Schizosaccharomyces pombe: one gene and its partner. The gene in region 1 interacts genetically with each later gene. Each region holds a gene or a part of one and is shown in the gene's direction. Other genes may lie near its edges.

Region 1 (4,754 bases):
TGATCGTGAGCACCCATCATTTTCTTTTTTTCTTTTTTTTTTAGAGCATACTAGAAACATTTAAACGAGATCGAGCAGAAATCGGTAATAACAAGCCAAACTCTATAAACAAATGATTTAACATTTTCGCTGTAAATAAATTGTCATTACTGAATACCTAAGTAAGGCTAGCATATAATAAGTTTATATTTAATATGCATTTCAAAACTGAAATGCGAAAGAGTATCGACTAACTTCAGCACTTTAAACGGAAAGAGTGCCCGCAAGCTGTTCATTATAACGTAACCCGTAGATTGGGTATTTACTCAAGACCTCTTTGGCCTCTTTAAATTGTTCAGGAGACAAAGATTTATTCAGTGCATTGAGATTGCTCTTTGTACGAGAAACAGATGTGGAGCCAGGAATAGGAATGACCAGACCGTTTCCAGACGCCATTATAAAAAGAAGTGAAAACTCGGGCATAGTCATACCAAACTTTTTAGCAAGTTGCTCGACAGCTTGGAGGAATGGAAGATTTTTAGCAAAAACATCAGGGCTAAATCTGTCCAAATATTCTAAGAATGGGAAAGATTTAGCAAATTCTTTAAGGTCTTCGACAGTCTTAATGCGACCAGTCAAAAGGCCACGACAGAAAGGAGAGTATGCAATAATAGGGATAGATAACTTCCTACAAATATCCATAATACCGTTTGTCTCGATATCACGAGAAAACAAGGAGTATTCGACTTCGACTGCAGCAATGGGGACCACAGCGTGAGCACGTTTGATAGTTTCAGCAGAAACTTCGCTAAGGCCGACACATGAAATCTTTCCAGAGTCCACAAACCCCTTCAATGTCTTCATGGTTGTCTCAATGGGAACATTTGGGTCGACTCGAGCACATTGGAAGAGATCTAGCTTTTTGGTCCCACGTAAATGAGCTATCACATTTTCAACACTCTTTGACACGAAGTCCGGATTTCCATCAGGAACTAGTGTTTTAAAATCCAAACCACCTTTGACAGATAAAAACACCTTATTAGCGTTTTCGGGATATTTTTCAAAATATCTAGCTAATAAATCTAAATTAGAGGTGGGAGGGTCGACACCATAAAATTCACCCGCATCCCAATAATTGGAGCCTTGGGATAAGGCATAATTCATTACTTCAAAGGCTTCTTCATCTGGAGTTTGCTTGGGCTTCCAGGTTAAACCCATAAGACCAAAGCCAATAGGTCCGACTTTAAATCCGCTAACGATAGGCATCTTTTCACAACTTTAATTTAAAAATGCTTAACTCTGTAAATATCAAATGTGTATTCTCAATTTTAAGCGAATAATATTGGAAAAACTAAGCTGCTAGGTATGCAAAGCTTGCTATTTATATGATAACGGTACCGTATGCTGTAAGAATTTCCTAATGGTTCTTTGAGACGATGCTTACTAATTAGTTCTACTGTTAATAATAATGAATCAAACGTAAGTAACACCTACTCTTCGTACCGTAACTAGCTTAAACAGCTTTGTTCTTTATTTTTGGCTTTGCTTTTATAAATTTACTTCTACATTTTTAAACATTGGATCACACGTGTAACATACATTATTGAAATAGACTTGATAGTAAGTATTATGAATTGAACTATGAATGGAAATATTGGAATTAAAAGTAATTACACCAAAACTGAGAACTTACATATTATGTTATTTGAAAATTCGAGAATTTATTAAATGAAAGAGAAGGGAAAATGCTCATGAACTTCAGAATCGCCATTTTTGTTACAATACCAAGGAACATTTATTTATTTACACATTTTTGTTTAATAGTGAGAAGAGGTGTGCTACAGAAATGAAATTTGAGGAAGTATTCAATTAGACTCTCATTTAAAACATATATGAGAATTGATTTTAAACGGTTTCTAACAGCGTTCATGTCGTTCTTTCTCCTATTTTTTGCTCTTGAATTCTCTTTTTCTTACTGACAAAATCGTTAAGATACGCAAATTTGCTATATTAACCTGAACGTCATAATTTGAGCATCTCCAATGGCATTGTTATTACAGATTAACAATAGGTTCGGTATATTGCACTTAGATTATATAGGGTGCAAGGCAGAAGGATGCACTAGTAGTACTCACCTTCTTAAACCCTACAAGGATAGAATTCGTCTTTTCACCGTTATTTCCGATATCTACTACAACATAAAATAATTGTATAAATCCAAGGCTATACTCTTATATCGGTCTGGAAAAGTATCGGCATAGTAAGTATTAAGGAAAATCAATGCCTCCTATACGCCAGGCCGTCTCTTTAGCAGAGAAAAAGGCAATTCGAGATTATTATAACCAATCTGCCCATAGAATTCCTCAAAAGGAAGTGACAGAATGGTTTCGAAAAACGTACAATAAAGATTTATCGCAGTCAACGATTTCCGAAATTCTTTCACCCAAATACAGTTATTTAGATGATGGAAGTGTAAGACTCGGTGATATTAAAAAAATTCGAGCTCCAAAGTTTCCTTTGCTTGACAATGCCGTGTACGAATGGTTGCAACAAAGAGAAGTTGAAGGCCTTCCTATATCAGGGGATATGATCAAACAAGCTGCTACTCGATTTTGGTCGAAAATTCCGGCGTATGCTTCTCTCCCATTACCAGACTTTAGCAATGGTTGGTTGGATAAATTTAGAAGAAGACATTATATCCAGCAAAGTGCGGTAAATCAGGCATTGGAATCCATCAAATTTGAGGTGTTTAGAGAATACCCAGTTCATATTCAAGAGTTTATACGGCCTTATGCCCAAAAAGATATATTTTGCGTTGGAGGGACAAGCCTTTTTTGGAAACTCACTCCTAATAAACAAAACTTGGATTATCAGGAAATCCAGGGAATGAAGCGTGGAAAAGCCAAAGTGTCTTTAATTATGTGTTGCAATGCCGATGGGTCAGAACGACTACCTTTATGGATCGTGGGTTATGCACAAAACCCAAGATCTTTTGAGCAGTGCGGTATTTTCCCTAAAAGTATGAACTTCGAATGGAAGTGGAATGGCCGAGCTTCAATTTCACCAATTATTATGGAGGAATGGCTTCGGTGGTTTGACACACGTATGCAAGGACGCAAGGTCCTATTGATGTTAGAGAGCAATGACACATATCAGTTCGGTGTTGAAAGTGTTCGACGGTTTAAAGGTGGTTTTCAGAACACCTCTGTATTTCGAATTCCAGAAAAAACATTGGACATTAAGTCTCCGTTTGAACAAGGAATAGTCGATACATTTAAAGCGAATTATCGAAGATACTGGTTGCAATACTCCCTTAATCAAATCAACATATTGAGAGATCCTCTAAAAGCCGTTAATGTTTTAAAAGCCATTCGGTGGATGCTTTGGTCTTGGAATTTTGGGGTGAGTGAAAAGACTATTCAAGCATCTTTTCTCCGATCAGGATTATTGGGTCCACATTCCGAGGCCGAAGGACAAGGAATGGAGTCGTATCAAAAGGCCATTATGGAAATTGGTAATCTGATTTCAAGCAAGGGCAGCGAAGCTGTTAAGCAAATTAATGAATACATTAGACCTTCTGAAGAAGATGAAACCAAATTACATCAAGATGCTGTGGATACCGTTGCTGCAGAGTTTCTGGAGGAGAGACGCTTTGAGTCGGATGAGGAAGAAGACGTGGAGCCTCAAATATCAAACGTGGAGGCTGCCATGGCCTTTGAAGTCTTAATAAAATATTTTGAGCAACACGAAAATGGGGATCCCTCGTTTGTTTTAGATTTGTACCGCAGACAAAGAGTGATTGCCCCTAATAATTTAATAGCGTGATCCACTTACGGAAATAAATTGAGAGCGAGTCTTACTAAACCCAATAAGTGCTTCACGTTGGATGATTTCAATCTCCAAAGCAAACAAATTTCCAAAAAAAAAATATAGTGAAACAAAAGTCGACACTCGTACAAAATTACTTTTTTTAATTGAGATTAATGTTTCTGCTTACTTTTGGTTAACTATGGCGGGCGGCTTTGAACCCTTCTCGTTTAATATTCTTTTAAATTCACTTAGTGTGTGTACATATACCTGAACAACAAAACATTTTATAGGATTCTAATGATATTATGAATTATTAATGATTTTTTTTGTATAAACTGTGTCACATTGTGTTTTCCTTTGTTGTATGCAAGACAGAGATATAGAGAAGCAGTGAGAACAATTAATAAATAAAAATCAGTTAGCGCGCAAATGAAAAATAAAGCATTAAGCAATGATGCTTTAATAATTTAATTTAATTTAATTTAATTTAAATGCTATAGATGATGAATGATCATATGGTTTTGTGAGTGAGATGCTGTTTGAGTTGTTGCGCTGGTAAACCACTATTGGAAATGCTAGAAAAATGGGTAGGGGTTTTGATATGACTTTAAGTCCGAATCTGAAAACCGAACCATTAATTTTAATAGCTAGGTAAAAAAGCCACACACAATCAGAGATTTTACCAAAACAAGACATAAAAAAATCACATTATGGATATGAGGCAACTGGAGTGTGGAATTTAAGGAAATATGTTTATATAATTATGAGTTTTCATTGAGCTACAAAACAGAAGATATATTTCATTGAATAATTTCTGTAGTGATGACCCACTTTAAAAAAAAAAAAATTTGAAAGTAGAGTAAACAAAATGGAATATGCCATTTTTAAAATACACACTAGAATGATCCACACTAGCTATGGTGATCTTAAAGTATATATACATATCTTCTTAAATCTTGAAAGTT
Region 2 (5,001 bases), on another chromosome or scaffold:
GATGTCTTGAGCTTGGAGAAATCTGAGTGATGAGAAGGCAGATGGATTGTATGTGTGTGTGAAGAGCACGCATTGTGTTGGAGCACGTTTGTTAGAGTACGCTTTGCGTTAGAAGCATGTCTTGTGTTGGAAGCACGCTTTGTTGTATTTTTGGTTCATGATCGTTTAACGAAATAAGATAGAAATATTAAATGTGCAAGCAGCAGAAAGATTGTAATGTTAAAGTGGAAAAGAGCCAAGTAGAGATATTGTAGAGGATACGATGTGTTTGATAGGGCGGAATTTTGTATATACTGTTTTTTCAGGTAGAATACAGGGAAAATGCTGAAGCGACGTTTGCAGTGTTGAAGAGATGACAAATACAAGACCTTTACAAAATGCATTCTAGTTTGATTTTTTTTTTTTTTTATAAAGTGAATTTTTTCAAGATTTTATTTTCCTAATTTTATTTTCCTAATTTTATTTTTTATATTTTTAATTATCAATTTTATTTTTATTTTATTTTTTTTATTTTCTATTTATTTTTTTATTTTGCATTGCTCATTCTTTCACCCAGAGTAATCACTAAATTAGTCTTTGTTTACAACAATTTGAACAAACAAGTAAATAAATGAAAATAATATTGTTGTCAGACAAAAAACAAGTTAAAATTAAATAAATAGAAAACTTGTGGCTCATTTGATTCTTAGTTATTCTTTGTTTACCTGCGAATTGTTTTTTATTACAATACCCAACAAGTGTTTTCATGTAAATCATTTCACACTCTGTATATTTTACTTTACATATATATATGTGTGCGAGTTGAATCATTTAGTTTCTATCAAAACTCTTTCTACTGCTCTCCCTCTAGATTCTTAATCGGTTTACTGACTCTTTCCAAGTTCTTAATTTTTTACTGCACTTTTTTTATAGTCTTATTTATTTTTAGTATACTCTTTCTAAAGCCTTATTCGGGTTACTGCCTCTCTATGTCGTCTTTTACTGTCTCTCCCTCTACATCCCTATTCATTTACTGCACTCCTTCCTACTCTCTTTTTCGTTTGCTTCCCCCTCCAAGTTTTGTTTCGTTGCAACAAGGTAGAAACAATTCGAATGGTACCAACAATTCTAGCAATCCATACAGACTCAACACCATACATTTCAAGGGTCGACCTCAGATTACTCAATGAAACTCTTGAAAATCAGAATGATCAACCAATATTCATAAATGCTTACAGCAACTTTTGTCGATTGCTAGCAATGATGCATTTAGGTGAAACAAAGTGTGGTCTAACAATGTTTAAATAAAAGAAAAGAAAGGAAAGAAAAGAAAGAAAAAAATAAAAAAAATACTTGATCTTGATTGTATTTTTATTTTCTTTTCTTTTATTTATTCTATTATTTCTCTTTCTTTTTCTCTGCTATAAAAGTGGCGACCATACTGCAATCGAATGAATGTCCACACTGCAAAAAGTGTATGGAAGAAAGCCCTAGAGTAGAAAAGGAAAGAGAAAAGCGCACAATAAGGAATGTTAAGAATAAGAAAAAAAAAGTTTCAACATACTTTATTTTAATTATTATACTGTGGTTTATTTCCTTATTCCAATTACAACAATGTAATTTACATGCTTATTCTAATTACTACAAAGTGATTTTTATCCTTATTCTAATTACTACACTTGATTCACTTCCTTATTCCAATTACAACGCTATGATTCATCTCCTTATCTCCTCTAATACCCTCCCTCTCCCTCCTTGCTTTACTCTGCGGGCATCCCTCTTCCCCCCCTTCATCACTCCCCTAACCCACTGGAACGTTGGGTTTGTTCGTTTGTGCAATCTTTTCTTATCTTCACATTTCCACCCACTCTTCCATCTCACTAATTCCGCTCCTGGGAGCCGGCAAATCAGCACCTCCTTATCCAATAATACGCAATCCACATGACGCCACCATCGTTGCTAGTCTTTCCATTCTCATCGCTATCGCACGTTCCAGATGTGGCGCCCCTCCTTATTCCTCGCTTTCATTGGCTCTCTCCCCATCCCTCGTTGTGACCGTTTACCAGCGATACCGTATGTCATCATTACCGACCGTGCCTGCGTTTTGGTGGCACTCGATCTTATTTACCTCGCTGCGCATCCCAACGAACGCTTTACCAACACCTCCAACACACTCTCCATCGTATTGCAGTGTCGTGTAGGACTTGCCTTCGTTCAGATCCTTAAATAATTTCATTCAAAATCGGTTTGCATTGCTTTCCTCTGTTTTGCTTTGCCCTGCCTTTGTTGGAAAACCTCTCTTACCTCTTCTACTTGTGTTGACTCACCAGTCAGATCAGCTTGGCTCTACTTGTCTACGACTGGAAGCGTCTTTTCACCTCTACTACAAACTTCTATTCTACTATATACTCTTCTCCTGTTTTGCTTTGCTTTGTTTTCTTTTGCTTAGCTTAGCTTAACTTGACTCGACTCGACTCTGTTTTTTTACCTTGCTTTTATACTGTTCGTCTAGTACATAGTATACTTACTATCTTGTTAGTTCCTCCTATACGATTCGATTGCTTTTCCATCTCGTCTCGTTTTTCTCCTCCTCTCACTTAGCTTTTCTTCTATAAAAGGTCGATTTTCATCCTTCTCCTTTTATATCCAAAGCAAAAGCTTTCTGCGACAACTTTTCCTTTCCTTTCCTTTTCTCTTTTTTTTTTTTAACTATACACCACTCTTCCCCTAGCGGCAATTTGGATTTCGGACAATCGAATCCAAATTCCACCTATAAATTATTCAAGACGGATCCCCTATTTTCTATGGAAGCTCCCAAGATGGAACTGAAGAGCTATAAACGAAAGAATGCTTCGTTATCTCCCAGTTCCTCTCCCGCCAAGGCACAGCGTACTCACTTGTCCTTGGAGGAAAAAATCAAGCTCATGCGCTTAGTCGTGCGTCACAAGCACGAACTCGTCGACCGTAAAACTAGTGAGTTTTACGCCAAGATCGCCCGTATCGGTTATGAGGACGAGGGCCTCGCTATTCATACCGAGTCCGCCTGTCGCAATCAAATCATCTCCATCATGCGCGTCTACGAACAGCGTTTGGCCCATCGTCAACCCGGCATGAAGACCACTCCCGAAGAGGATGAGCTCGACCAACTTTGCGATGAATGGAAGGCCCGTCTCAGCGAGCTCCAACAGTATCGCGAAAAATTCTTGGTTGGCAAGCGCAAGTGTGATTGCAATGATGAAATTAATGAACGTCTCAAGAAGCTCACTGAAGAGCAACAAAACGTCGACATGCTTGTCGCCAAGGTCAACTTTCTCTCCAAACATCTTCACGATAATGAGGAAAAATTAATGCAGGTAAATGCTAAAATGGATGAAGTTCTTGCCGAAAATAAGCGCCTTCAACAACTTCTCGATCATAACGATTTGTTGTCCAAGCTCGAGCCTCCCTCTGCTTACGCTCCCCATGGCGTTAACATGGGCACTAATATGGGTGCCAACATGGGCGCTAATATGAATGCCATTCGTGGCGGTCTCCATTCTAGCATCTCTCCTAATCTTGGTGACCATTAATCCCAACTTTTCCGCCCATCCTCCTCCTACCTGTGAACACACAACCTCTTTTCTTCGAGAATTTCGTTCTCAATCCTTGTTTAACTTATGTTGAGCGGTTGAATATAAATTTTTTTTCTTCTTTACTTTTGACTGACGGTCTGCTTGATGTAAATATCTTTCATTTCTCCCTCTTCCTAGTTGTGTGCAAGGCGAATCATTCGGTAAAGCTGGTTACTTCCTTCCTCGTAGGTATCTTTGCCCCTTTCCAAATAAAAAGGCAACGAAGCCTTTCTGTATGTGCGCTAGTTGGGTTGCTTCTATTTTCTCCGCATTTTCTTGTCTCTTCCGTTATTAAACTAATATTGATTTTTTTTTCTTTCAATCCGGACATATTAAATTCTTTGTTTTTTTTTATTTTTTGTCCTCCTTCAAACAGTTTCGGTGATTGCTTTGTTTTCGCTTTCCACCGCTATTTGCCTTTGCCCTCTTTCCCTTTCGCACTAATTCGTTGTCCTTTTTGCTTTCGTGCTTTATCCCAATTTCGTACGACTATCGTTCTTCCCTTCAAACAAGCTTGAAACAGGTACTGTCATATGTTTTGCAAGCAATCCTCCTTGCACTTTCGGTTGAAGCTTGACGAAAGCCCAATGGTCCCACCCATGCTTTGCTTGTAACGTCACATCATGGTTATCTCTTATTTAGAATAGTTTTTTCCCTTAAATTGGTTTCAGTAGTGTTGGCCATTAGTCGGCCTACTCAATTGAGTTAATGTACAATTAATACAATTTTAAGCGACAGAAATCTATGTATCGTAGCAATCGATAGTTCATGTGCAAGTGGAACAAATATTGAGACATCGTAGTACTCGTGTAAAACAAACAGTCTTGTTAAACGGGAGCTCCTCATAAATGGGATCATCATCCACCACAACAAAAGCTTTGCCGGCCATTTCATACGAAGTGATTGAAATATGGTGAATAGCTAGTTACTATACTTCAGGTGACCAAACAGTGTACTTTTGAATTTCCCTTGTAAAAAAATTTCAAGTCCAAAAATGGCCCCAATACGGAAACAAATTTAAACTGTATTACTTCTATGTGTTAGTTATTCCGTTTGTGCCAACGAATTTAGACCAAACATTGTCGACCGTAACATTTTTAACCACCGTGCCATTACCATCGGGGCCCTTTTCTATCATACAGAGGCTTGTAATACCGCATTTGTCCAGATACGACTTGGCCAAATGATAATTCAAGCCAACTTGATGTGGTCCATGACTATCGTCAGATAAAGTGAGTTGCGCTCCTTGTTCAACCATCAGCTCAAGAAGTCGTTGCTGAGGATACGCAGTCTTCCATCCTTTGCGAAATGCAGAGGTGTTAATTTCAAAGATACCACCATAAGAAACAGCGTATTTAATGTTTCGTTGTATAAGTTCCCAAACACTTTTCGAGTTCTTGAAAACTTCCTT

The links.
Region 2: of cbh1 (region 1) and sap1, a mutation in one rescues a mutant of the other (synthetic rescue), as found in Schizosaccharomyces pombe (one study listed by BioGRID).

The regions. Positions count from the first base shown.
Region 1 is NC_003424.3:4,458,275-4,463,028, reverse strand, and holds cbh1 (CENP-B protein 1), read left to right. Parts: upstream 1-2,150; 5' UTR 2,151-2,259; coding exon 2,260-3,804; 3' UTR 3,805-4,109; downstream 4,110-4,754. Other genes in the region: pyridoxal reductase Plr1, read right to left, coding at 244-1,245. UniProt on the Schizosaccharomyces pombe protein: Binds to centromeric K-type repeat DNA and ARS3002 DNA. The CBH-binding consensus sequence is Py-Pu-A-T-A-T-Py-Pu-T-A.
Region 2 is NC_003421.2:560,900-565,900, reverse strand, and holds sap1 (switch-activating protein Sap1), read left to right. Parts: upstream 1-2,134; 5' UTR 2,135-2,783; coding exon 2,784-3,548; 3' UTR 3,549-4,325; downstream 4,326-5,001. Other genes in the region: gud1 (guanine deaminase), read left to right, coding at 1-10; SPOM_SPCC1672.01 (histidinol-phosphatase), read right to left, coding at 4,624-5,001. UniProt on the Schizosaccharomyces pombe protein: Binds to sequences required for mating-type switching. Makes a simultaneous contact with both the alpha and beta domains of the switch-activating site SAS1.